4 linked regions of the Drosophila melanogaster genome follow. The protein of the gene in region 4 interacts with the protein of the main gene of each other region in a pairwise test. Each region holds a gene or a part of one and is shown on either strand. Other genes may lie near its edges. The genes, in order: Tat, MagR, GABA-B-R2 and CG8907.

Evidence for each region.
Region 1: the proteins of CG8907 (region 4) and Tat interact in a two-hybrid assay, tested with the Drosophila melanogaster proteins (one large-scale study listed by BioGRID).
Region 2: the proteins of CG8907 (region 4) and MagR interact in a two-hybrid assay, tested with the Drosophila melanogaster proteins (one large-scale study listed by BioGRID).
Region 3: the proteins of CG8907 (region 4) and GABA-B-R2 interact in a two-hybrid assay, tested with the Drosophila melanogaster proteins (one large-scale study listed by BioGRID).

Annotation. Positions count from the first base shown.
Region 1 is NC_004354.4:14,259,716-14,265,914, reverse strand, and holds Tat (tyrosine aminotransferase), read right to left. Parts: upstream 4,693-6,199; 5' UTR 4,556-4,692; coding exon of another isoform or gene 4,508-4,555; 5' UTR 4,331-4,507; coding exon 3,982-4,330; intron 2,466-3,981; coding exon 1,951-2,465; intron 1,885-1,950; coding exon 1,591-1,884; intron 1,525-1,590; coding exon 1,177-1,524; 3' UTR 536-1,176; downstream 1-535. Other genes in the region: CG13404 (uncharacterized protein), read left to right, coding at 1-126, 214-347.
Region 2 is NC_004354.4:15,732,335-15,736,300, reverse strand, and holds MagR (magnetic receptor), read right to left. Parts: upstream 2,032-3,966; 5' UTR 1,933-2,031; coding exon 1,849-1,932; intron 1,749-1,848; coding exon 1,695-1,748; intron 1,203-1,694; coding exon 1,127-1,202; intron 1,058-1,126; coding exon 980-1,057; intron 913-979; coding exon 809-912; 3' UTR 521-808; downstream 1-520. Other genes in the region: Arp6 (Actin-related protein 6), read left to right, coding at 1-464; CG12379 (uncharacterized protein), read left to right, coding at 2,378-2,590, 2,748-3,059; CG8191 (uncharacterized protein), read right to left, coding at 3,073-3,966. UniProt on the Drosophila melanogaster protein: Involved in the assembly of mitochondrial iron-sulfur proteins. Probably involved in the binding of an intermediate of Fe/S cluster assembly. Required for maintenance of circadian rhythms under constant darkness.
Region 3 is NT_033777.3:21,769,841-21,777,411, forward strand, and holds GABA-B-R2 (metabotropic GABA-B receptor subtype 2), read right to left. Parts: upstream 6,001-7,571; 5' UTR 5,901-6,000; intron 5,508-5,900; 5' UTR 5,494-5,507; coding exon 5,245-5,493; intron 5,069-5,244; coding exon 4,587-5,068; intron 4,526-4,586; coding exon 4,345-4,525; intron 4,290-4,344; coding exon 4,071-4,289; intron 4,016-4,070; coding exon 3,720-4,015; intron 3,660-3,719; coding exon 3,296-3,659; intron 3,234-3,295; coding exon 3,123-3,233; intron 3,057-3,122; coding exon 2,820-3,056; intron 2,408-2,819; coding exon 2,062-2,407; intron 2,000-2,061; coding exon of another isoform or gene 1,997-1,999; coding exon 1,894-1,996; intron 1,837-1,893; coding exon 1,370-1,836; intron 1,309-1,369; coding exon 689-1,308; 3' UTR 493-688; downstream 1-492. Other genes in the region: Burs (bursicon), read left to right, coding at 1-29, 88-354; CG6800 (uncharacterized protein), read left to right, coding at 6,298-6,498, 6,552-6,936, 6,999-7,149, 7,202-7,373; Polr1H (RNA polymerase I subunit H), read right to left, coding at 7,449-7,473, 7,538-7,571.
Region 4 is NT_033777.3:17,007,250-17,013,063, forward strand, and holds CG8907 (uncharacterized protein), read left to right. Parts: upstream 1-1,580; 5' UTR 1,581-1,620; coding exon 1,621-1,679; intron 1,680-2,160; coding exon 2,161-2,554; intron 2,555-2,611; coding exon 2,612-2,656; intron 2,657-2,717; coding exon 2,718-3,608; intron 3,609-4,210; coding exon 4,211-4,583; intron 4,584-4,658; coding exon 4,659-4,999; intron 5,000-5,067; coding exon 5,068-5,163; 3' UTR 5,164-5,284; downstream 5,285-5,814.

The sequences.
Region 1 (6,199 bases), on a different chromosome or scaffold from region 4:
ACGGCTGCGCCAGTTACTACCAGAGGGTCAGGAGGGTATCCGCGCTGGCTCCGCTCCTGCCGCTCACCTTCGTCGTGGGTTACTATACGGACTGGGCGTACGGCAGCAAGATGCATCGCATTCAAGGTGGGTCTGGGATAGGATTGTTTGATTAAGTGCCATTAGAAGGATGATATCTTATACAAACCTATCCGATGATTACATCAATTGTAGCGGAGGCGAACATGATTATGGAACACGAGCAGGAGCTGCTCCACTGGCCAGGTGGTCTGCCCACTGTTGCCGGAATCGATGAGGCCCGCGTGGAGACCGAAATGGAGAAGAAAATGCATCCGCACCACATGTAGAGGCAAAAGGATGCCCCTCTCCCGGTTAGCCTGTAGGTGGGATTGGGTTCTCGTGCTCAGGTCCTCGTTCAAAAACACACACACACTCCACAATCAACAGGATTTGTCCCAGAGTTTCAGAAATTTGTAAGACCCCTTAGCTAGAATTTAATATATATTTTTTTTTTTTTGGCATTAACAGTGCTGTTGAATGCTGAAATGTGGGGACCATTCAATTACACTTCACAACACTCAACAGCATTCTAATTACGTTTCACAGCCCATTAAGCAACATTTTAAAATTTCTTACAACGAATATACATACAAATATCATTCATTACACACATCTAAATCCAATTTATGCGAAAATGTTCAGCATTTTTAAATTGAAATCACACGTTAGATAAAGGCTGCCAGAAAATTTATTTGAAACTAATAGAAATAATTGTAACTAGCAAGAAGGCATCATCATATCATATCCTGTTCCAAAGGAGCACTACTTTCACCAAGTTTAACATTTTTTGCACAGAACCCCAGCCAGCCTACAGCGCCAGATAGCTCAAATATAGGCCTATATATATATATATAAATTTATATTATATATATTTATATTCAGAAGTCCTCCATAATGACCATTTACTTAGCCGCAGTTTACTCGCTCTTTCTAAACTCTATCTATCTGTGTGTGACGCGCTTTACTTTTCCAGCAATTTTTTGAGACAATACTCCTTATATTGGATAGTTAAAATGATTGATATATATATATATATAGTATATATACATACATACACTTATGTACACTTGATAAAAATTGTAGTCTAGAATATCTAATAAATGTTTTGCTCCCAGCTCAAAAGGCCACATCATCGCAGTCGAGCAGTCCGTGCTCAATGAAATTGCGCGACTCCTTTTTGTAGTGGCGATCGCAGAACTCGGCAATCCTGGAGCACGCCTCCTCGATCATTGCCCCGGGCACAGTAAGTACGATCCGCACGTATCCCGGGTACTCAAAGCAGCTGCCCGGCAGACAGAAGACACTCTGCTCATTCACCATCTCCTGGACAAAGTGGGTGTCGTCCTTGAATTCCGGGAAGCGTTCGATGCTCACGCCTATCATCATGTACATGGCTCCATTGGGCATTACGGGATCGAGGCCACGCACCTGTTTCAGCATCTTGTAGGCCAGCATGGCATTCGACTGTGGGATAAAAATAATCATATAATAATTATCCATTAAGCTGATAATTACAAATGATAAACTTACGTGGAGCACATCAATCACGCCGTCAAAATAAGACTGCGGTGTCTTGGTCAGGATATCGGGCAGGGCACCCTGAATGATGGTATTGGAGCCCAGAATGCGACCACACATGTTCTTTAGACCGACAATGGCATCGCGCAAACGATTCTTGCGATCGTGCACTATGATCCAACCCATTCGCCAACCGGGAACCAGGAAGCGTTTGGTCAACCCGCCACAGGAGAGAACTGGAACCTCCGTGGTCAGGCTGCTCACGGCCAAGTGCTTGGAGCCGGGGAACACAAAGTGCTCATAGATCTGCAACGAAAGCAAAGGCAATTCAATTCAATTATTTCATGTGTGCTCGATTTAAGGGTCACTCACCTCATCGGCAATGATGGGCAGATAGTGGCGTTCGCAGATGGCTATCAACTCGCGCAGATGCTTCTCATCGAAGACGCTGCCACAGGGATTGCTCGGATTGTTGATCAAAAGGGCGGCGGTGTTCTCATCGATCAGGCTCTCTAGCTGAACGAGATCGGCGCGCCACTGCTGATCGGGCAGAAGATCGTAGTAGCGCACCTCGATATCCAAGCCCTGGGCCAGCGTATAGTACAAACAGAAACCCGGTCGCGGCACCAGAACATTCTGACCACGATCCGCCAGCGCCAGGATGCAGTACTCCAAGGCGGAGGAGCAGCCGCTGCACAGCACCACCTCGTTGGCATCGATCTCTCCGTCGGGACGCTGGTGGGCACTGTATTTGGCCACCGCTTTGCGGGCTATCTCGTGACCCTGGGTGCTGGCATACCCATTGTACTTGCCGCTCTCCAGGGAATGCAGCACCGCCTTCATTGTCTCATCGGCGGCTTTTAGATTGCCAAAGGTTGTGGGATCACCTGGTTGAGAAAAGCAAGTTTCAAAATGCATTTAAAATATATAATCTATAATATAAAATAACCTTTAAGCTAATAAAATAATACAGAAAATATTCCATCAGTGAATTGCCTAATTTATGGAATAAAGTGCATTTATTTTTGGAAACGGAATGCAAAATGGTGTTAAAAAAATAAAAATCAGGCGACTTCGCATCCGAATCTCTGATTGCATTGGGTCAATGGCTAACTCGTTCGTTTCCGGCTAACTTCGATTCCCGATTCCGATGGCTAAGCAAGCAGCAGCAGTATAATCTGGCTCAGATCCCGAGTTCGATTCCATTCCATTCGATTCGATTCGATTCGAATGGATTCTCGACTTTGTCAAACAGGTGGAACTACATTTTATGCAAATGCCCCACAAAACACAAATACAGTGCGCGTGCCTCGCTACAAAAATAATACGATATTACTAAAAACAAAACAAAAAAAAAACAATTAAATTATATACAAGAACAAGAACAACAACAATCGAAACAACAACAGCTTTACAGATTTTATATATCTGGTATCTGGCATATTTTAGCACAAATTTAGAAACTCGCGACAATCGGCAAAATTAGCTTCTCTGTAAATTTCCTAAGCCAGAAAGCCAGTAAGCCCGAATTCCCATTGAGCTCTAACATTTCAGGGAAGTCCAATGTCCCAACTTATATAACGACTTATAAGCATTATAGCCGAAGCACCGATCTCTGATTGGCCCGATTTTGTGGGTGTGTATGACCAATGGATCGCTTTAGTTCACAATGAAACCGAATTCATTGGGTTCATAAAGCTAGTTTTATCAAGTTTGGGACAACTCAGCTGCCAAAAATAAAAAAAAAACTAAGATATAAATATATATATATATATATTTATAAAACGGCAAGAGCAAAAGAGATCGCACATCAGAAATATTCAAATTTGGCCCAAAAACTTGTAGCAAAAACGTCAGAGGTGTTATGGGGATATGGTGAAATGAGGAGCAGGTTTCCCACGAAACTGGATAGTTAGCACTACCTGCTCAAATATTTTTCTATAATTTGCAAATTTTGGATATTTCAAATCATTGCTTTTAGCCACTATTAAAGGCGTACTTTTCAGATTAATGCATATATAGTAAATAGAAGGCGAAATCCTGATAATGTAAATATACATTATACATACATGCTAAATGCATAGCATACTTCTGAGAATTCTGAAGAGGAAAAGCTTTTAAGATAGATTTTTCAAACACATATGTAAGTTCTGCGTCAAAGGAAATTCAAGAATCAGTAATTTGCAGACAAACTAATAATAATTTATAAGGTTTATATAAAAAGCCCTATAAGTTTTAAGAACTTGAAAGTTTAAGATGTCAACTTTAAATATCTAAAATGAATCTATACAAGAAATATACTAAGTACCATATTTTAAAAGAAAACTGATTATATACGTACAGTTTTTAGAACTTTTACTCTTTAGATATATATTAGTTAATTTATATATTTATGGTGCTCACCAATGGACAGCGGTATCATGGGCTTCTCCGGATTCGGTTTGATCTTTAGCGACTCGACAATGTTCCGAATGCGATTGTGCGTGTTAAGGGATAGCTTGGAGCCCTTTATCTCCCATCCGGAACGCTTTCGGCTGCTGCTGCTCGTGGCTGTGGTGTCCACCAGGTCCTGTTGCTTGCGTATGTCCTGCGATTGGAGCTGCAGCTCGGCCAGCGCCTGATCGACTACATCGCAATTGGGCGTCACCGGCGCCGGGGATTCCGGCTCGCTGGGACTCCGGCTTGTGCAGCTGGCACGATTGCGGCTGCTCTGGTATCGGAACTGACTCTCGTTGGCAAAACTGCTGGGCATTATCACCAGGCCGGCCCTTTTCCCGATTCAACGAAAGAAAATCGAATAGCCAAACCAAACCAAACCAAATCGAATCAAAATAAACAAAAACAAAAAAAAAGCACAAACAAATATTGCTAATATTTTTGATTACGACGATGTCTCCGGTCCCGATTTCTGGCAAATGGAGCACTCTGCTCAAATGAATGAAAAATTTGTATCCTGTTTATCGTTCCAGACGAGCATTAGAGCTGTGATCTTTGGTCAATCACTGTGTTGGACAGACGATTCTTGTTTTCGTTGGATTCCCTTTGGATACACGGTATATGGTTGATATGGGCTAGTACTTTCAAGTCGTTTGCGAATTCTGTGCTAAACTGATCTACTTCGGCGATATCTTGGGGCTTTTATCGCCTCCGGCCGACTTCGTTTAGTCGATTGCTATATAGGCTCTCCATATAGACATCCATATACATATATACGCATATCTGGGTATATATAGCCCATACACTAACATCGCCGGTTATCACGCGCCTGACTTTGGCTTCGGTTCGAGCCGAGAGGGCCGATCGAAAGACTGAAATAACAACAACATAGGGGGCGTCGACTGATTTGAATACCCGCCGGTTCGAAATCATATTCATACTCGGAACCAGATTTTAGTTCGATACGATTCGTTTTGATTTGATTTGATATAAACAACAACAGGCGCCGCCGCCGCCGCATCGCATCGATATTCATTTAAATGCGCCAAAGTTGTCTATAATATAATATATAATCTTGGGCCAATTTGAAACACCAACCGAGCATCCAATCAACCAACCAACCAAAACCATTACCATTAATGCATATCGTGTGGTCGGTCGATCCACCGATCCAACCGACCACCACCTTTCCACCCACTAAACCACGTGCCAATCAACCCATAATATAGTTGGCTAGAGACACAATGTATCTGTAAGATTTTCCTGTTCTCCGATCTCAGCGGTCATCGATCCGAATCACTAATAAACTGGCTAAACTCGAGTATTGCTTTCGGAAAAATGTTGCTATTTGCTACCTATTATTGTATCAACTTCCCACAAAAATTATCAATAGAATACCAGAAAGTTACCACAACAATCCTGCACACATATTATAGATTCAATAATTTCATGCATTTTGTGATAATAAATAAATAAGTTATTTTCATTTGTTTCTGCAATATTTCTACTTTAAAACAAAAGAGAACGACTATCACATACCCGTTACTCAGCTAAATGATATTTAAATTTAAAAATATAAGTTACTTGTAAACAAATTGCAAATCTGGTTGATGGCAAACAAATCTATTTTTCCGCACAAGATAATTGCTACGTTTATAGAAATATTTACATGCCAAGTTGATATAATTTAAATATGAGTTTGTGCTCTTTTTGTAGTCTATTTAAGTTGATTTACTTTGTGAGGATTTTAAAAATCCTTGTTAAATTTAATAACAACTCAGACTTAACGATTAAATCTTTTGAAAGGTGAAAGTACAGAGTTCAAAACTAAAGTAACTCGGACAAAAAATCTGTTCAAGATCGTAGAACAATAAATTTAAAAAAAAAAAAATAGTGGGAAAATAAAAAAAAAACTCACGGCGCATTTAACAATTAATTCGAAAGTGTCCGCTAAATGCACATCTGGACAAACGTGGAATGCACTGCGATACCAAGTCCATAGATGTAATCCCATCGATTTGAATAATTGCATATGCATAAGCGACTATAGGATATATCTGTATCTGAACCCGATCAACTAGATCGGCTAGATAAACTGGCCAAGCACACCTGTTGACGATGACAACGCAATTTCTCAGAATCACGGAGCGGAGATTCCGGTCATTTTGACTCTGATCCCCGGACA
Region 2 (3,966 bases), on a different chromosome or scaffold from region 4:
TCCTTCCAGACTTCACCACCGTCAAACGGGGCTATGTTCGTGTTCCCGGAAAGCCGCGCGAGGATGAGGAGCAACAGCAAATGGTGTCGCTGTGCAATGAACGTTTCACCGTGCCCGAGCTGCTCTTCAATCCCTCGGACATTGGTGTGCAACAGGTGGGCATTCCGGAAGCGGTGGCCGATTGTCTGAAGGCTTGCCCCTGGGAAGCGCACCGCGAACTCCTGCTCAACATCCTTATTGTGGGCGGCAGTGCCCAGTTTCCGGGATTTCTGCCGCGCCTAAAGCGCGATTTACGTGCCCTGGTGCCCGACGATCTTGAAGTGTCACTCATCTGTCCCGAGGATCCGGTGCGGTACGCGTGGTACGGCGGCAAGGAGGTTGCGACCAGCCCCAACTTTGAAGAGTTTGTTTACACGCAAGACGACTACGAGGAGTACGGTTTCCAGGGTATCAATCAGCGGTAACATGCACGTAGTCGAAGTATTTTTTCAATAATAAACTTGATTTGCACATGGGTTTTCTAGAACATTCCTTGTCTATATATTGAACTAGGGCTAAAGAGGACAAACTGCCAGCCTGCGGCAAGGAAGCGGGTGCGTCACTTACCTAGCGCTACAACTAAAATTTAACTATAGAACACAACTTAATATTTAGAATTCGTTTGCGAAGTAAAATTTACAAAGGATGCGGTGCTTTTGCCAACAACGTAATGAGATACAAGGTCGGGCCGCGTACTGCATTTAACTTAGTTAATTTAGGTCTGTCTGCGAGGCGGGTGCCGGCGGATCTCCTCCGGATCTCCATCGGTTTACATGCTGAACGATTCGCCGCAGCCGCATGTGCCCTTAATGTTCGGATTGTTAAACACGAACTCGCTGGACAGCTTCGATTCCACAAAGTCCATCTCGGTACCTGCAAGCGAATTATACTCTGTATTAGCTGGCTTGTCCAATGCTATGCTAAGCTGGTATGAACTTACCCAGCAGCGACAACTGCGCTTTCTTGTCGATGAAGACCTTGACGCCATCCTGGACCACCTCCTCATCCAACTTGTCTGCTGGCAAAAATCGACACAGAACGCAGCATTAGATCTCCACCGAACAACATTCTGTCCAGAGTGGCTTACCTTTTTGGCTGGCATAGTCCAGCGTGTAGGACAGACCATTGCATCCTCGCTGCCGTACGCCCACCTTTAGGCCAACCTGTGGCAGAAACAACATCGAATTTCTGTCATTAACTGTGTGGCTAATTTATAGGCAGCCTTGTTTATTGACCAAAGACAAAGAACTCGGTATTCTAATAAGTCTGTCTCAATTCAAAGAATTTAATCACTTAAAAACTAAATGATTAACAACAAGATAAACATGCTCATCAAAATTTGGTCGGGTCAAAATTTGGAAAATCTAGCTGATTAACGCAGGCCGAATTAGTTAGCATGGCTTATATTTATAGCTAATAATTTGCGCTAAAATATATGACTGACTGAGGAAAAAGCCTATTGTCAAATATAATGCTTGAAGAAGCCCTCTTGCGAACTTCCTATACTCCATGCAACCAGTGCTAAAACTTAAATAACATGCACGGGAACCTTTAAAGAGCTAGGCGAGATTATCAAGATCTCAATCGTGGAAGGCGATAGAATGCCCACTAAAGTGTAGCCTTGGTTCGATGACAACTTGTCAGCAGTCACTCACCATGTCCGGCTTGTCCTGCAGAAGCGTCTTGATGCGTAGCACCGCCGCGGGTGTCTGAAAAGGATTGGGGGAGATCAGAATCATCAGATCGAAGGGGACTGTTACTTCATCAGCAGCAGCATGCGCCGATTTCACCAGGTTTTGGTTTCCTTACCAGAGTCAGAGCGGCCCGCGTCGGGATTAACTTCCGGCCTTTCACCGCCCGCACTGTCGCCGTTGCCACCACACGTGTCGCCATCGGTTCGTGCCCTTTATATAATTTGTTTGACTCGAGAATTTCCACAAAAAAAATTCGAAAATATGAGTGCTTACTACCAGATGGTCGATAGTACTGTCGATAGTATCACGTGAGATGGCATTAACAGATGTCATCGATTGGCAGTGTCACGGGATAGCGGAGAAACGGTTACTACCTGTTTGAAAAATAAGTTATTTTTAAGCCCCAGAGTCCAGGTGGACTTCATTAATAACTTAACTTAATATTTCACAGTAGAATTTATATTAACAATTGGTTTTAATGTCTGTGAGTTACAGCAAATTTTATCAGCACCAGTGACAGCTATAGTAACTTTTTAAAATCGTGACTCGCGACTAGTTTTGAAATGAAAGGAGGTGCCATCTCTAAGTTTAAATGAATTTCACACTTTTCGATTGAGTTAAATAATATCAACAAAATCGAGGATATGTCCGCCCTAAAAAAATTTTATAAAATCAGCGCAGGTGTGAGAAGAGGCGCACTACTTACCAGTTCCCGAAGAACACAAATTGATGCTTTAAATAGTCCACAATTGCAGTTGCAAGTGCATCACTTTGCAACCAAAACACAAACAGCTGTTTTTAGCAGCAGCAACAACTACACGTGCATTTGCCGCAGTATACACTGCAGTAAGCCAGTGGTATGTTTGGAAATCAGTTGTAAATACAAATAAACTACCCAATTGATATTAAATAATGTTATTTACATTTGTAATTTAAAATATTATAAATGGAATGCAATATTTAAAATTATGTATAACAAAAAAGTTAAGTATAATTATTTTGCTCTGCTCCCAGGACGATGCGGACAAGACGGTGGCCACGAATAGCATTCCTCTGGCGAAACTGGAGGCCAAGATGCAGCTGATCTACACCTGCAAGGTGTGCCAGACCCGGAACATGAAGACCATTTCGAAGCTGGCATACCAACGCGGCGTTGTTATCGTGACCTGCGAGGGCTGCTCCAATCACCACCTGATCGCCGACAATCTGAACTGGTTCACAGATCTGGACGGCAAGCGCAACATCGAGGAGATCCTGGCCGAGAAGGGCGAGAAGGTGGTTCGCCTGACCGATGGCAACTGCGAGTTTTTGCCGAAACATGATTAAACTCGTAGTGTAGTTAAGTGAAAACGAATGCCACTTTATTTAGCAGCTCCAGCAAATGTGTCCAGGAATTGGGGGGTAGTTGGGCACGCAGCTGCTGGGCGAACTGCCGGCGACATATGGATCCGGTGGCCAGCATCAGGTAGGTTATGTATGTGGCCTCGTTCACGGGCAGCTGCGAGACAGCCGTGACTGGTGCATCAGCGGTCAATTGCATCTCATCCAAGTCTAGGTAGGGCAGGTGGCGATTCCAATGGTCGATTAGGTAGGCAATAAGGCTGCCGGCCAGACGTACATGCTCCATACTGGCCCAGAATCTCATCTCATTGGCGGATTGCGATACGAACAGAAAGATATTGTGCAGGAAGCCGGTGCAAGCGGTAGATCCGCCCTCCGATAAAGTGTCACAGATCATGTGGCGCATTAGGTAGCAATCCTTGTGAATTTCGCTGTCCTTTGGCTCCCTAAAAAGCTGCAGCCACACCTGGTACTCAATCAGCTCCATGGAGCGCTTTATTGCGGTCTGCATGTCCTCAAGGCTGGATAAGCGGCCAATCCGCTTGACTAGCCGTCGCATCTGCTGAAGATCGGGATTGATAAAATCGCTGGAAGAAAGCGCATCCGATTGGCGTATTGCCGACCAGTCCAAATCACCGATCTCACTCCACGCAGGCTGAATCTCGGCCAACGTTCGATGCGAAAGATGAAGCAGTGGTGCATGAGTTTCTCCCTTTCGTGTGTTCACGATGGTGGTACACAGCTCACGAATACACTTCCGTCGATCCACCAATGCAGAGCAGCTAGCGAAGAAGCCACGGCAATCGCAGCGTTCGGCCAGCGATTGCCCGAAGCGATCATAGCACTCGAACAGGTACAGGTGAGCCTTTAGCAGGGATTCCACAACGGATTG
Region 3 (7,571 bases), 4.8 Mb from region 4:
GCGTGGGTCGCTGTGCCAGTTATATCCAGGTGGGTGTTGATATACTTGAAATATAAATTATAATTTGATATAATCTGATGACTTTAGGTTTCGGGCAGTAAGATCTGGCAAATGGAGCGTTCCTGCATGTGCTGCCAGGAGTCTGGTGAGCGGGAGGCAGCCGTCTCGCTATTCTGTCCCAAAGTGAAGCCCGGCGAGCGTAAATTCAAGAAGGTCCTGACCAAGGCGCCATTGGAGTGCATGTGTCGGCCATGCACTTCCATTGAGGAGTCTGGCATCATACCACAGGAAATTGCCGGCTATTCGGACGAGGGTCCACTCAACAATCACTTCCGGCGCATTGCTCTGCAATAGATTCCCCCATCAGTTTAGCACTCATACCCATGCCCATTTGCTCATTAAAATAAATTAGAGTTGCCGTTTCTGCTTGTACACAGTGAAAAATGTGCCTCTGAAAGCTCATGCCAGTGAAAGGGAAACATCAGCAGATATATGATTATTTTAAATTGTAATTTATTTCCCAACTATCTCATGTCATTGCTACTAGTTCACTAAATGGTGTGTGTCCTGCTTCACAGGGTATGTATGTAGATGCGTAACTCCAAAGAAAACAAAGATAATCTTTACACTGCAACTGGATCTAACAATAGGAGTTTAACTACGGCATAATGCATATGACTCGCGCCGCCTACAAGTACTCGACGATATCGCATTTGATGGATATATTCGGACAGCTCTGGCCCACGGCACTGCGGCCCCGATAGTTGGGACTCTTCTCGGTGAGGAGTTTCCGGAAGATGGGCAAAATTGCCGTCTCGCCCTCGAGCAGTTCCGTCTCGCTGCTGGCGCCGTAGATGCTGCTATCCTGCTTGCCGCGCTGCCTGCTCCGCTGCTTATCGGGCGCCACATTGGGCGAACTGTGGTGGTGGGCGGCGTGCTGGATGTTAGAGCTCCGGCTGACCTTACGCGGCTGGACGCACGGCTGACTGTTGGGCGGCGGATCTCGTTCCCGTTCGCTGTCCGTCTCGCTCTGGCAAACGGTGCCCTTTTGCGGTTTTGGCCGATGTTTGTTGCGGTTCTTCTCGGAGACGGACCGCTGGATGGGCGAGGTGGTGTTCGGGTCATAGGTCATCCCGTGGCCGCCATGATGTTCCGCACAGCGCTGCGGACTGGCGTAGTTCCGCGGCGACTGGCGCTGCTTGGCGTGCGACAGCGTGTGCGTGTCCCAGAGGTCACTCTGTGAAACCACGAAATTGGACTTCAGAGCGGAGCCCATGCTGGTGCGGCGATGGTCGGAGGCAGTGGGAGCTATTTTCGATTAGAAAATCGATAGTATTATAGTATTATAAGAGACGCGCAGAAAACTTACTCTTAATCACAGCCGGAGTACTGGGCTTTGAGTGTGGACACATGTTGCTCAACTCCGATTGCGATGTGGAGATGTTGGTGGAGGAGTTCCGGTGCGAGCTGCTGTACTTTGGCCGGGCGGTGGGCGTCTGGCTGCCACTGTCGTAGTGCCTGGAGGCGGTCGATTGACGCCTCTCCCGCATGCTGGAGCAGTCTCCTCCGCTCCGCTTGCCCGCCGTACTGGTGATGCTGCCTATATTATCATCGGTCTGAGCGGACACCGAGTTTCTCTTCTCCAGATGGCGATGATGATGCTGCTGCTGCTGCTGTTGCTGTTGCATCTGCTGGTGTTGCTGCTGCTGCAGGTGCTGCTGCTGCATCTGCTGATGTTGCTGTAAGTGCTGCTGCAGTTGCTGCTGGATGGGCTGCATCATAGTTGGAGCAGGGGCATGCGAGTGGTGCTCTACAATCGATTGCTTTTTCTTTTTGCTGTTGGAGAATATCCATAGATTAGAGTGTATTTAAGACCAAAATTTAAGAACTTACGGAGGAAGCGATGGCGCCATCACTGTAGACTGCACCGACACAAAGGAGTTATCCATCTCCACATGAGTCGAGGTCACACTATCCACGGACGTCATCTCGGTAACTTCTATGACAAACGGGTTGCAATGCATGAACATATCTACGAAATCCCCCTCCTTAGCCACTCACCTGTGGTGCTGGGCATCTCTCGACGCACCGGTGGAGCTGAGAGCCTAACAATGTCATCGTTCAGTATGGGCTCCAGTTCGCTACCGACGTTGGAGCCACCTGTGCAGGTCACCCCATCGATCCATTTGCGTGCCTCGGGTCCCAGCTTGCGGATTAAGGCCTGCAGCTCGTTCTCCTTCTCCATCAGCGCCTTTCGGAATCGGCAGTTTGTGTTCTTTACATCTCGCAATCGTTGCTCCAGTTCGCACACCGAGGAATCCCGGCGTCCGTTTTTGGACATGGGTCTCAACGTGGCCCTAACGCGTTTGTCCACCACGCCCTGGGGATTCCGCTTCAGCTCCACCAACTGCAAAACGATTCGCATGAATATTAACCAAAGATTATACTACGCGGTCAACATCTAGGAAGGATCAACTCTACGGACAGTAATATAGGATAGTTAAAGATATTCCAACAGCAAGGAAGTGGGATTTGCCTACAACCTTGCTGCTGCTCTTAGTGGGTTCTATATAGTTCAAGTTTATAGTTAGTCTGTAGTGTTATATAGCATTTTAAGATCTGTTTTCGAGTACATGTTGTTTCTGTATCAAGGTGTATCAACGCTAGACGAAAGATCAGCTCAGCTGGCGGTAAAGTACGATCAGTTAAGAAGCTCTAACCACAACTGATCGGCCTATTACCGCCGACAAACAACATTCATATTACACGATTATTATATGTAACATATAACAGCTACAAAAACTACAAAACTTCCTTACTACCAGTCTTACTTTCGGTACGAACACCAAACACAAAGTGGCTGTCGTACAAAAAATGATAAAAAACGAGAGTAAGACAAAAACTAAATCCTTTCGATCCGATAGCACCAGGGATATAGCCGCTCCGGCCAGACAAGTGATGAACACGTTATAAACGGAGAAACCAATATGCTTGGAATCGTTCAGAGCCGGTATAGAAACATGTCGAGTTTCCCAGGCCAAAAAGGCGCCAAAAACCTATTGAAAAAAATTATTGCTTTATTATAATGATATCTTACAAATTAATGTTTATTATATACTCACCAACAACAGTCCCTTGTAGGCATAAATAATGCTAACGAATATGGTCATGTGCTCAGACTGGCAGTACTCGTTTTCGGGGATCACCAAGACATCATCAATATTCTCGTGATGCTGTAGTTAATAATAATCATTTTAGATTTTTCACTTCAAATATGTTCTATCAATGCACTCACCAAGGGTTCCAACTGTTTAGTTTCGCGGTAAAAGGGATCGGCAATCTGCCAGGTGGTTATAATGGCTATATCAATGGCCAAAAGCACGCCCACAACCATAAACAATTGATAGTCCTTGATCACCTTCTTATTGAGCTTCAGATCGGTGAATATCGAATGCACCCGCCACGTCTTCGAGAACATGGCTCCAAAACTGAGACTGAATCCAGCCATCAAGATCCAGGCTCGAGCTGTGCAGATATAGGGAAAAGCTGCCACACTACTTAATGTGGTATCGAGACCCAGGAAAATGATGCTCAAATAGGTCATCATACAGCCCACAATGATCAGATTGTTCAAATGGGGACTGGACATCTTGATGTATCTATAAAAACATCAATATTTTATTAAACGAAATTGTTTAATATAGCATTGTTAAGCTCACCTTTGATTGCGATACTTAATGTTAAAGGCCAGAAAAACTGTGGCAATAATCACTCCAATGACCGAAGCACTAGCCGATACAATATATATGGTTGGATTGACCTGACTGTGCTCGATGTAGATCAAAGTGCGATCCTTGGGAGGAGTTTTCCCCACCCATTTGACTGGTTTTCCCAAGCTTAAATCCAAGTGTGACTTCTGTGAGTGGTATTCCCCGATCTTTTCCATTTGTCCCAGCTGAAACTGATTGATCAGGATGTTGGCCTTGCGCTCGTTGTTGTAGAAACGCACGGGTCCCTTGAGAATGTAAAATATGTTTTAACTGCAAAAACTGGATTGTTTATCTATCTACCGTCACACCCTCGAAGGATGTATTACGTAGAGCCTCAAGGAAGACACTCTCCCAGTCCTTCACGCGATAATCAAAATGTGTTAGCAGATCCTCTCGCTTTTCGGCCACATACTGAATGGCCAGGGCAGCTGCCCAGATACCATCGTAGGTATAGCCATGAAAGCGGGAATATTCAGTGCCTCGCAGTCTGTCGTACTCCACAAGATACTCATCAGCAGTCTAGTAAAATATGAAATTTATTACAAGAATTTTAATAGACTTTACTGGTACTAACAATGCCAGCCACTGTGATGTCACCACTGGTGGACAAGGGCAAAAGATCCACTAGAATGGCACCTTCCAAGGCTGTAGCGATCTCCTCCACACTGCACTCGCTGTCCTGCGTGACATTCCACCAATCCGTGGAATAGGTAGCCATGATCAGCCATTGATAGGCTCTGCCATACATATCCAATCTGGAAGGGAGTTTATTGCAATAATTTTAAATTGAGACTTAAGTTAGTATATCCAACTCACTTATAAGCCTCACAGAATGCCTTGCGTGCAAAGTGCTCGTTAAAGTTGCCCAGAATGATCCTCACGTCCTTCTCGCGCAGTTTCTTCAATGATTCAGCCACATCGTTGACGAAGCTCTGCGTTTCCACCACCTCGACCTCCATGGCATCCAGGTCAGCCACCATGTGATTGTGGGGCAGCGAATAGCGTGGCTCATTCTGGTAGACAGTGCCCACTCTGGTCCAATTGAACTCCTTCAGCAAGGCCAGTCGCGGCGCATTAAAGGCATTCTCCGAGGGTACCACGCGAAAGAAATTCGGAAACGCATCCTTGGTGAACATGGGATGGGTGTCCGCGTAGCTGAGCTGGGTGAGGTGCCAGTGCTTGCTGGCCTTGGCTATGGGATCGGTCACATGGGTGCACGCAGCGCCGAAGAGCATCACTTTATTGGGACCCGAATGCATCATATCGAAGAAGGACTTTACGCCCACAGCAGCATTGCACTGGAAAGGAAACCAAAATTACATTCCAGAATATATGGAAATATGCATAGGTAAAGGTGTGATATTACAATATGAACCAATGAACATTAAAAAAAATACCTAATTGAACTTTAAAAACCACAAGTCCATCATCAGAGATTCACTTAATGAAATCTTCAAGCTAAACCCTAACTCACCTGAGTGTCGTTCCACCACATGTGCAGCCTGTAGTTGGCCAGTATCTTTCCATGCTCATTAACGTGACCCAAGGCGAGCTTTACACTGGGCATAACGCCCCGACCGGTGTAGGAGTTTTCCACGCCATCCCCGTACGGGAAGAATCCCGCTATGTAGACGTCCGATCTCTTGGCTGTCCTGCCACAGGCGGTGCTCCAAAGGAGCAGGAACAGCAGGCTGGCGAATGGAAACCAACTTGGCCGGAACATGTTGACCGCGTGGGCTGTAAAACGATTCTAAATGTGAATAGCGCATATCGAGGACGTGAACTTGGAGCCAAGTTGTGGGTGGTGAATGGCAGTGGTTGGTTTCGGGTGAGCCAAGGCTGCCGAGGCAAGGCTGCGCCCAGTGGGTGTGTATTATTTTCTACGTTCTACCTGTGTTTGCTGGCACTCGCATGCAATTTTACAGGACAGGTGGAGCAAGGCTAAGGCCAGTCCAGGCCAGCAAAATTGCTTCAAATTGCTGCAGCAATGCTGGCACGTTTAGTAATTATAAAGCAATTTAATGATCTAAAGGATTCGTGCATTATTTAGTATGCTCGTTAACGCGAAGGAGTATCTTCCAGGTGTTGCATCCTCTTAAATCTTATGTGTACATGTTTTTAGGAACCTACCAGCTTGCTTAGTCCCAGAACTGGCTTTTATTTCACTACCGATGCCATTTGAAACACTTATTTTACATCAAATCTCAGCCAACGAAGAACTTTTGCAGTGCGAGGGTCCGAAAAATTATGTATCCCCCTGACTTGACATTTGTCTGACAGGAGGAATTCGAGGCAGGAAGTGCGCATGTCCTTAAACCGAAAGCTGTCACTGCTCCGCCTTGGCCTAGGCTTTCCAACCCCCGTAATTACCATAAACCCACTGCGCTTGTAAACATCCTGCAACAGGTGGTCCCATCAGCTGGTACTCCGGCAATTGTTGTGCCCGTTGCCATGGACTACTGGGGTCGAAAAACGAAGTAGATAACTGCTCGGAAAATTACCAAATTGAAAATTGTGAGTAACCATAATGGAGGACTATGCGCCCAGCCGCTATAAAATGCTTGAGAAAATCGGCGAAGGCGTCCATGGCTGCGTGTTTAAGGCCATCGATCTGCAGCGCAACAAGGAGGTGGCCATCAAGAAGGTGGCCCTTAAGAACAAGTTCGGAAACATAGCCCTAAATACTTTGAGGGAAATCAAGACCCTGCAGCTTTGCAAGTCTGAATATGTAGGTATACCATATATCTATTTTCCATTTGTTAATTATGTAACTAATTGTAGATTCTGGACATCATTGATATATATCCTGACCTAACTGGTCTCTCCTTGGTGCTGGAATACCAGCCGGACACTCTGTACAACCGCCTCAAGAGCGAGGTTAATCCCCTGAGCCGCCAGCAGGTGCGTAAGTTTGCACACCAAATGTTCAAGGGGATTGCATATCTGCATGAAGCGGGTCTCATGCACCGGGATATTAAACCCGCCAATCTGCTTATCAGCGATACAGATATGCTTAAGATTGCCGATTTCGGACTGGCCCGTCTGTACTTCCCTGAAGACGAGTCGCGCCTTTATTCGCCTCAGGTCTCAACCCGGTGGTATCGAGCGCCAGAGATTCTATTTGGCAGCCAGAAGTATGGAACCGGAGTGGATATGTGGGCGGCAGGTTAGCCATGACTCTTTGATGGGTTTACATATATCCTTATGGCTGACATTATTGCTATCCAGGTTGTGTTGTGGCGGAGATGCTACGCGGAGTGCCCCTGTTTGCGGGAACCACCGACATCGAGCAATTAGCCATCATCATTCGCACTCTGGGCAGCCCACGTCTGAATCAGTGGCCAGAGCTGACTTCTCTGCCGGATTACAGCAAGATACGGTAGGCATTCTTACCGTCTATGATTACTTAATCCGTAATATTCTTGACGTAGGTTTCCCAACTCCGTGGGCATTCACTGGGACAACTTGTTTCCCAGCTGCACACATGCGGTGGAAATCAATCTGGTCTCGAATCTGGTGGTCTACAATCCCAAAAACCGACTCAAGGCCAGCGAGGTGGGTTCTGCTTCAAGTTTGACACCGGTTAGGTATTATAATTGGTAAATTCTATATTTCTCAGGCCGTCGAGCATGATTATTTTCATTAATCTAGGACTATTTACACGGACATTGCTAGCAACTAAGAGTTTTCGGATTCTTTGAATCTGCAAGGTAGAATGTGTGTGATTAGTTGTGGAAGTGAAGGAATATGTTTATCAGGACACCTACTTGCACTTAAGGCAGGTAAAGAACACCGTCTGGC
Region 4 (5,814 bases):
TTTTGTCTAAGGGAACATCGAATTACAGGTAGAATTACATGACATAGACATGAATTTACAGATCAATTGTGTCTGGTTGACACTTTTGATAACTCTCAATTCAGAAGCGGATCGTTAAAGTCACGCAATATTACTATACTCAAAGTTGTTGCAGAAAGTGTTGCGGACAGTGCGGTACGTGTATTTCCATTTTCAACAATTCCCATTTTCAACTGTAATGAGGGTCGCTTTTTTCTGTTATTACGTGAAGTAGTAGTCATTAAAAGGCAAGAATGTCACAATTTGCTCCAATAAAAGTTATTGGCCAATAAACGAATAAAATAGTTACCCCAGACCCTAAGCATGATTGTTTTAAAGCTCTTTATTTATGATGAAGGACTTTCTTAAGTTAGGAATGATTCATAGGCAACATACAAAATACATGATATGATAATACGAGTAGAATAAGATATAAAGTAAGTTGTATGTAGATTTAATTGATCGAAATTATGCGCGCACGTCATGACATAAGTAATTTTCATTTCCGTTTTTTGAAAAATAGTCATCAAGACGTTTTTAATGATTTCTGTAAAGATTAAAACAACCATAGAGATGCATTTTTGCGATATAAAACTTATACTTAAGTTTTATTCAAGAACACTTTCACTTTTTCGCCAATCAATAATAAGCTATTTAAGTAATGTGTTAATGGAACTTAAAGAAATTCCTAGTAATTACTATCTTTAATTGAAAGTAAGATTTGTTGTTGGTAACAGGGTCAACTGCTGACCATTTCATACGATCCCACAGTGGGCCGATATCAAAATCAAGGCCCAAGGGTAGCAGACTCTCTCATAAGGAATGGTATTCGTATTTGTATTTGTTGCTCTGCTTCCAGATAAGATTGAAAAAGTGCCTATGAGCACCAAGAGATAAGGCACACTTTTGCTTTTGCGATAACGCACCATCGCAATTTCAGGCAATCAATTAATGAGCCAGCTGATATCGCCGATTCCCATTCCCTTTGGGCCAGCCAACGTCAGTTAGTTGGAGTTGGAATTCGATTCACAGCGGGTCGAGAGTTGTAGATCGGGTCGAGAAAAAAGAGCAAATAAATAAATAAAGAGCACAGTGGGCAGCACACAAGGTAACCAATCCATCGGTTCTTCTAAGCCCGTAAATCAACATACCAACGATATGTCTCAGACATCTGTATCTTAGGATCTGATGTCATGCCAGTGAAAGCAATAAATAAATCTCGAAACACGGCGGTAAATAATTGACCCACAATCACGGCCTAAAAATACGCGATTAACTCTTATATTCGAGTCCTTATGTAATAAGCTGCCATTAACGATTGCTTCATGAGCGAAGAATTTCCTGGCTTGTGATAACTGCAAAACAGAAATAAAGTAACGCCAGCAAACTGAAAAAGCAAAGCAATCGCAAACACAGTGCCAATTGCGTTTATCTAATCGGACAGGTAGCTACCACACAGGTGAAATAGGTACTCTCCTATGTACATATGTACACCTATGTACTTCTAAATGCAAAGGTATCTAATGGTAGCCATCTATCTGATTCGCATTGCCCATTGGGAATCAATAGTTTACCAGAACGCTTTGATTACACACCGCCGCAATGGTCAAAGCAGGCAATAGGACCCTGAAATACTTCCGACCCATTTCGGTCAAGTATGGGTAAATATCAAATATCAAGCGTGATAGACAGGAGGCTATCTCATAGATTGAAGCATTGCCAACACCTGTCTATCATATACCCGTATACTTAAAGTGCCACTTTGGAAATTTTCGGTGTTTTACTGTTTATGTTAGCATAACATTCAAACAAAGAGATCTTTTCGTCCTTGATCTGCATTTATAGTGTAAAAGATGCAGAACAAGATAGAAAATTCTTTACTATTGAACTATTAAAGTTTAACCTATTTTCCTTGTATTAAAAAGTGTAAGAGCAACTATTACTCATCGTCAATTACCTCTATGTCATGCATTAGTTGCAATGTAGTGTTATCAACAAAACAAAAAGAAGGGCAAAGAATTGCGCAGTTCATATTCTACAATATGTGCGCCTGAATGCCAAACTTTACATGGAAACAACCAATAAGTGATAAAAAAAAAAAAAACTATAGTTATTTGGAATGCCCATTTCCCTATTTCTCAGGATGCCACAAAACGGCTACGAAAATGGAGTCCCTGGCGGGAATCAGGCAAATGGGCACTACGACGAGGTCAAGCCCACCTATGCCCTGGAGCACTTGGCCACCTTTAAGCTGAAGAACGAGGCTGAGGTCAAGCAGCCGAAGGAGAAGATGAAGCTTCTGGTCGAATTGGAAAAGACCGGGGGCATTTGGCCGCACAAGATGTTCATGAGCTTCAATGGGCAGTGGCTGGTGATGCTGGACAGTGATATGAAGGAGATTGAGAACTTTCCGGGGAGCCTGATCACGGAGCCCACGGCTTTTATAAGCGATCATCCGCAGGAGTCATTCAACAATATCCTCATTTTCTCAGTGCCCGGAATCTCACTGGGCAATACCGAAATGCACATCTTCCAGGTGAGCAGCCACGATTTTTCAGCACTTTGAGATCTGTAATAATTAGATCATTAATAGGTGGCCGATGTCAGTTCCGTGCTCTTGGTTGAGGATCTAAAGACGGTGAGTTGAGTTGAATAAATAGATCCCCGATCTATATAATCCCAATACCACGATTTCTCAGCTAAGCAAGGGAACCCCTGTGACAGTGGATCGCAACAAGACGCCCATCCTGCTGCCCAAGCCGGAGAGGCCGCAGAACCAGCAGGCCAAGGATCAGTATGGAATAGCAGCTGCTGTGGCCGGAATAGCAGCCGAGAAGAATGCCATAGACAAGGAGCAGACCGAGAGGGATGTCCAGGTGATAAACCACTGCTTCGAGGACATCGAGCGGTTCATGGCCCGTCTTCATTATGCCGCCGAGGCGCTTAACGAGCTAAAGTTGCGCAAGGAACAGCATAATCCCCACGGTGAGGGACTTTTGGTCCTGAGATCGCGACCACCAATCGAGAGCGAGTTCCATGACATTTTGGCCAAGGCGAAACTGGCCCTTATATACTCCGTTCGGCTGCAGAACCAATTCACCAAGCCCGCCGATCCGGTGCACAATGTCTTCATATCGCTTAAATCCATCGTCACGGTTTGCAACGATATCTACGTGGATGCGGGTCTGCCGCAGGCGGTACTTAATCCCCTCCTGCGCCGTGAGACCATTGCCTTCCTCAATGGCACCCTCGACTCCAACGAGATGCAGCTGTGGCAGAGCCTCGGTCCCAACTGGACGGTTCCCAAGGATCAGTTCAAGGATCACAAGAGCTCTTATCATCCGATCTTCTACGACGATTGGTCTCCCGATTGGGTGGTCGATGAGGAGGTGCCGTACCTGGCTCCTGCTCTAAAAAAGAGCACAACGCCTTCGCCAGTGCCGGTTCCCATGCCCCCGAGTCCAGGTCTAGGAAATCGCACCTGGCTGAGTAGATTGGAGAGCCGAAATGTCAAGATCGCCGAGGTTACCTTCAATAAGTCGGCCACCAACGATAAGGAACTAAAGGTTACAAAGGGAGAGTATTTGGAGGTAAGTACCTAATAATAATCGAAAGGGGTTTTAATGTCAGTTCTTATCATTCAGATCTTTTAGCCAAATTTATCCCAATTTCAAGTTCCTTTAATTAAGATTTGCACAACATTTAAAACGACTTGCTTTTTTAATCGTTCGCTGACGTATGAATGTATGTAAGAGGCAATTATTTTGGGTTACAATACAGTTTTGTAAATATATAGGAATGTCCACGTGTGAGAACTGAATGATTTGAAATCTTATAAGGCACAGGTCTTTTACTTTTATATTAATCTTTTGTTTTGGAATGTTACTGATATAAAAAAGCTTTAGATAAGTATTGGTTGTGAAGATATGAAAATTCATTGCCGGTAATATATATGATTCAATAATTTTAAATTCAGGCATTTGAGATGTCTTACCAATGAGAGGTCAGTAACACTATATCAATACAAAAACTTTGAATGCAATTACTAAACATTGATTATATTTTTAACTTTATACCATGTTTACTATACATGGTACCAATCTTATCGATTCCCCAATTACGCGATCTTACCTTCATATCACCATGATAACAGACCTTATAATAACTATCATATAAATCGTCTGATTCCAAGATTATCGATGACTCCCGCAACTGGTGGAAGGCCCGTAACTCGTACGGAAACATTGGCTACGTGCCGCACACAGTGCTCACGCCGTACAACTTTGAGCCCGGAGTAAATGGCCGGGACACGGAGTCGCTGGCCTCAATGGCTTTGACGGAGAACGGCGGCGAGGAGGCCATTCCTCCTCCGCTGTACCGCAACACAATGGCCATGTATACCGCTCCCGTGGAGCAGCCGGCGGCCAATGGCAAGGCCATGCAGCGCACCTTCTCGATGCCCAACGTGCCCGTTCCACCACCGATGCCTCCACCGAGCGATAGCCAAACGCCCACGCCCAGTGGCACACTCAAACGCAACATGGCGGCGGCAGGAGCACTAGCAGGTGGGTACACTAGTAAATTAAAAAAAATAATACAATATAATAATGATATTTGTATTTATCTCATTCGCTTACCAGCCATGCGGGCCCGCAATGATTGCGAGGCAGATGATCAGCTCTACTACATGCAGGGCGACGTGCATGATGAACTGCGTCTACTGCAGCAGCAGCGAGAGAGGCGCAAGGACCTCGAGATCCTTAAGACGCCGGAAATCTTCATCACCCAGAATTCAAAGCCAAGCGAGGTGGAGGAGTGGCTGCGGGGCAAGGGATTCTCGGACATCATTATCAAACGATTGCACACGCTATCCGGCGAGGAGATCTTCGCCCTATCACCGCACACCATCGAAAGTTACTTTGGCCGGCGGGAGAGTCGCCGCCTCATTTCCCAGATCGTGCTGCAAAAGAATTTCTGCGAGGTGAGTTCTTGGACATATCCTCACCTTATCTAATCTAATCGAATCCATTCCAATATCCAATTTTGCAGTACAAAACCATTCGATCATCGGAGCTTTCTGCCAAACTGGCACGTGCTCGCCAAAAGGCCGATCAGTCCAATGGCAATCCCAACGAGGTCTTCTAAGACTCCCAGTATCCCGAGTTTTTTAGCCGGAGACCAGAGAGACAAAAATGCTTCAGATGCCATTAATTTATTTATGTGTAATAATCCTTCATTTATGTTAAACAGTGTTCATACGTATATTAAAAAAAAAAAAAGACAAAAATGGGTTTGATTTATATGCATTTAGTGTTAACATCTCGAATTGATTATAAATGTAATATAGATACTTTATTTAAACACAAATATTTATGAAGTGAAGAAATCATATGATTTCCTGTTTAGAAACTTAACTTCCCTAAACTCAAAAGTGGTATGGCATGATTAATTAGGCAAGAATATGTTTATCATTACAGGAAACTTTGAGAACTGGTTATGGAACAGTCCTAATGAAACGCTTATTGGTTAACCCAGATACCTTATATGTCGAACTCCAGTTCGAATTGCAGACTTCAATCAAAAGACTTACGAAATAGCCGAAATGAATTGGTTTTTTCAATAAACACGATGTTCAATGTTATGAAGAAGTAATAGACGTCGATTAAGAGTAATAAGTGATAATCTTCATAAATTCTGCTTCGTGAGTGCATCCTAAAAGTCAAGTAAGTGGGCGTTTCAAACCGGTAGGGGCGTGGCGTGTTATTTACCTTTTTTGTGAACACATTGCGGGGGAAA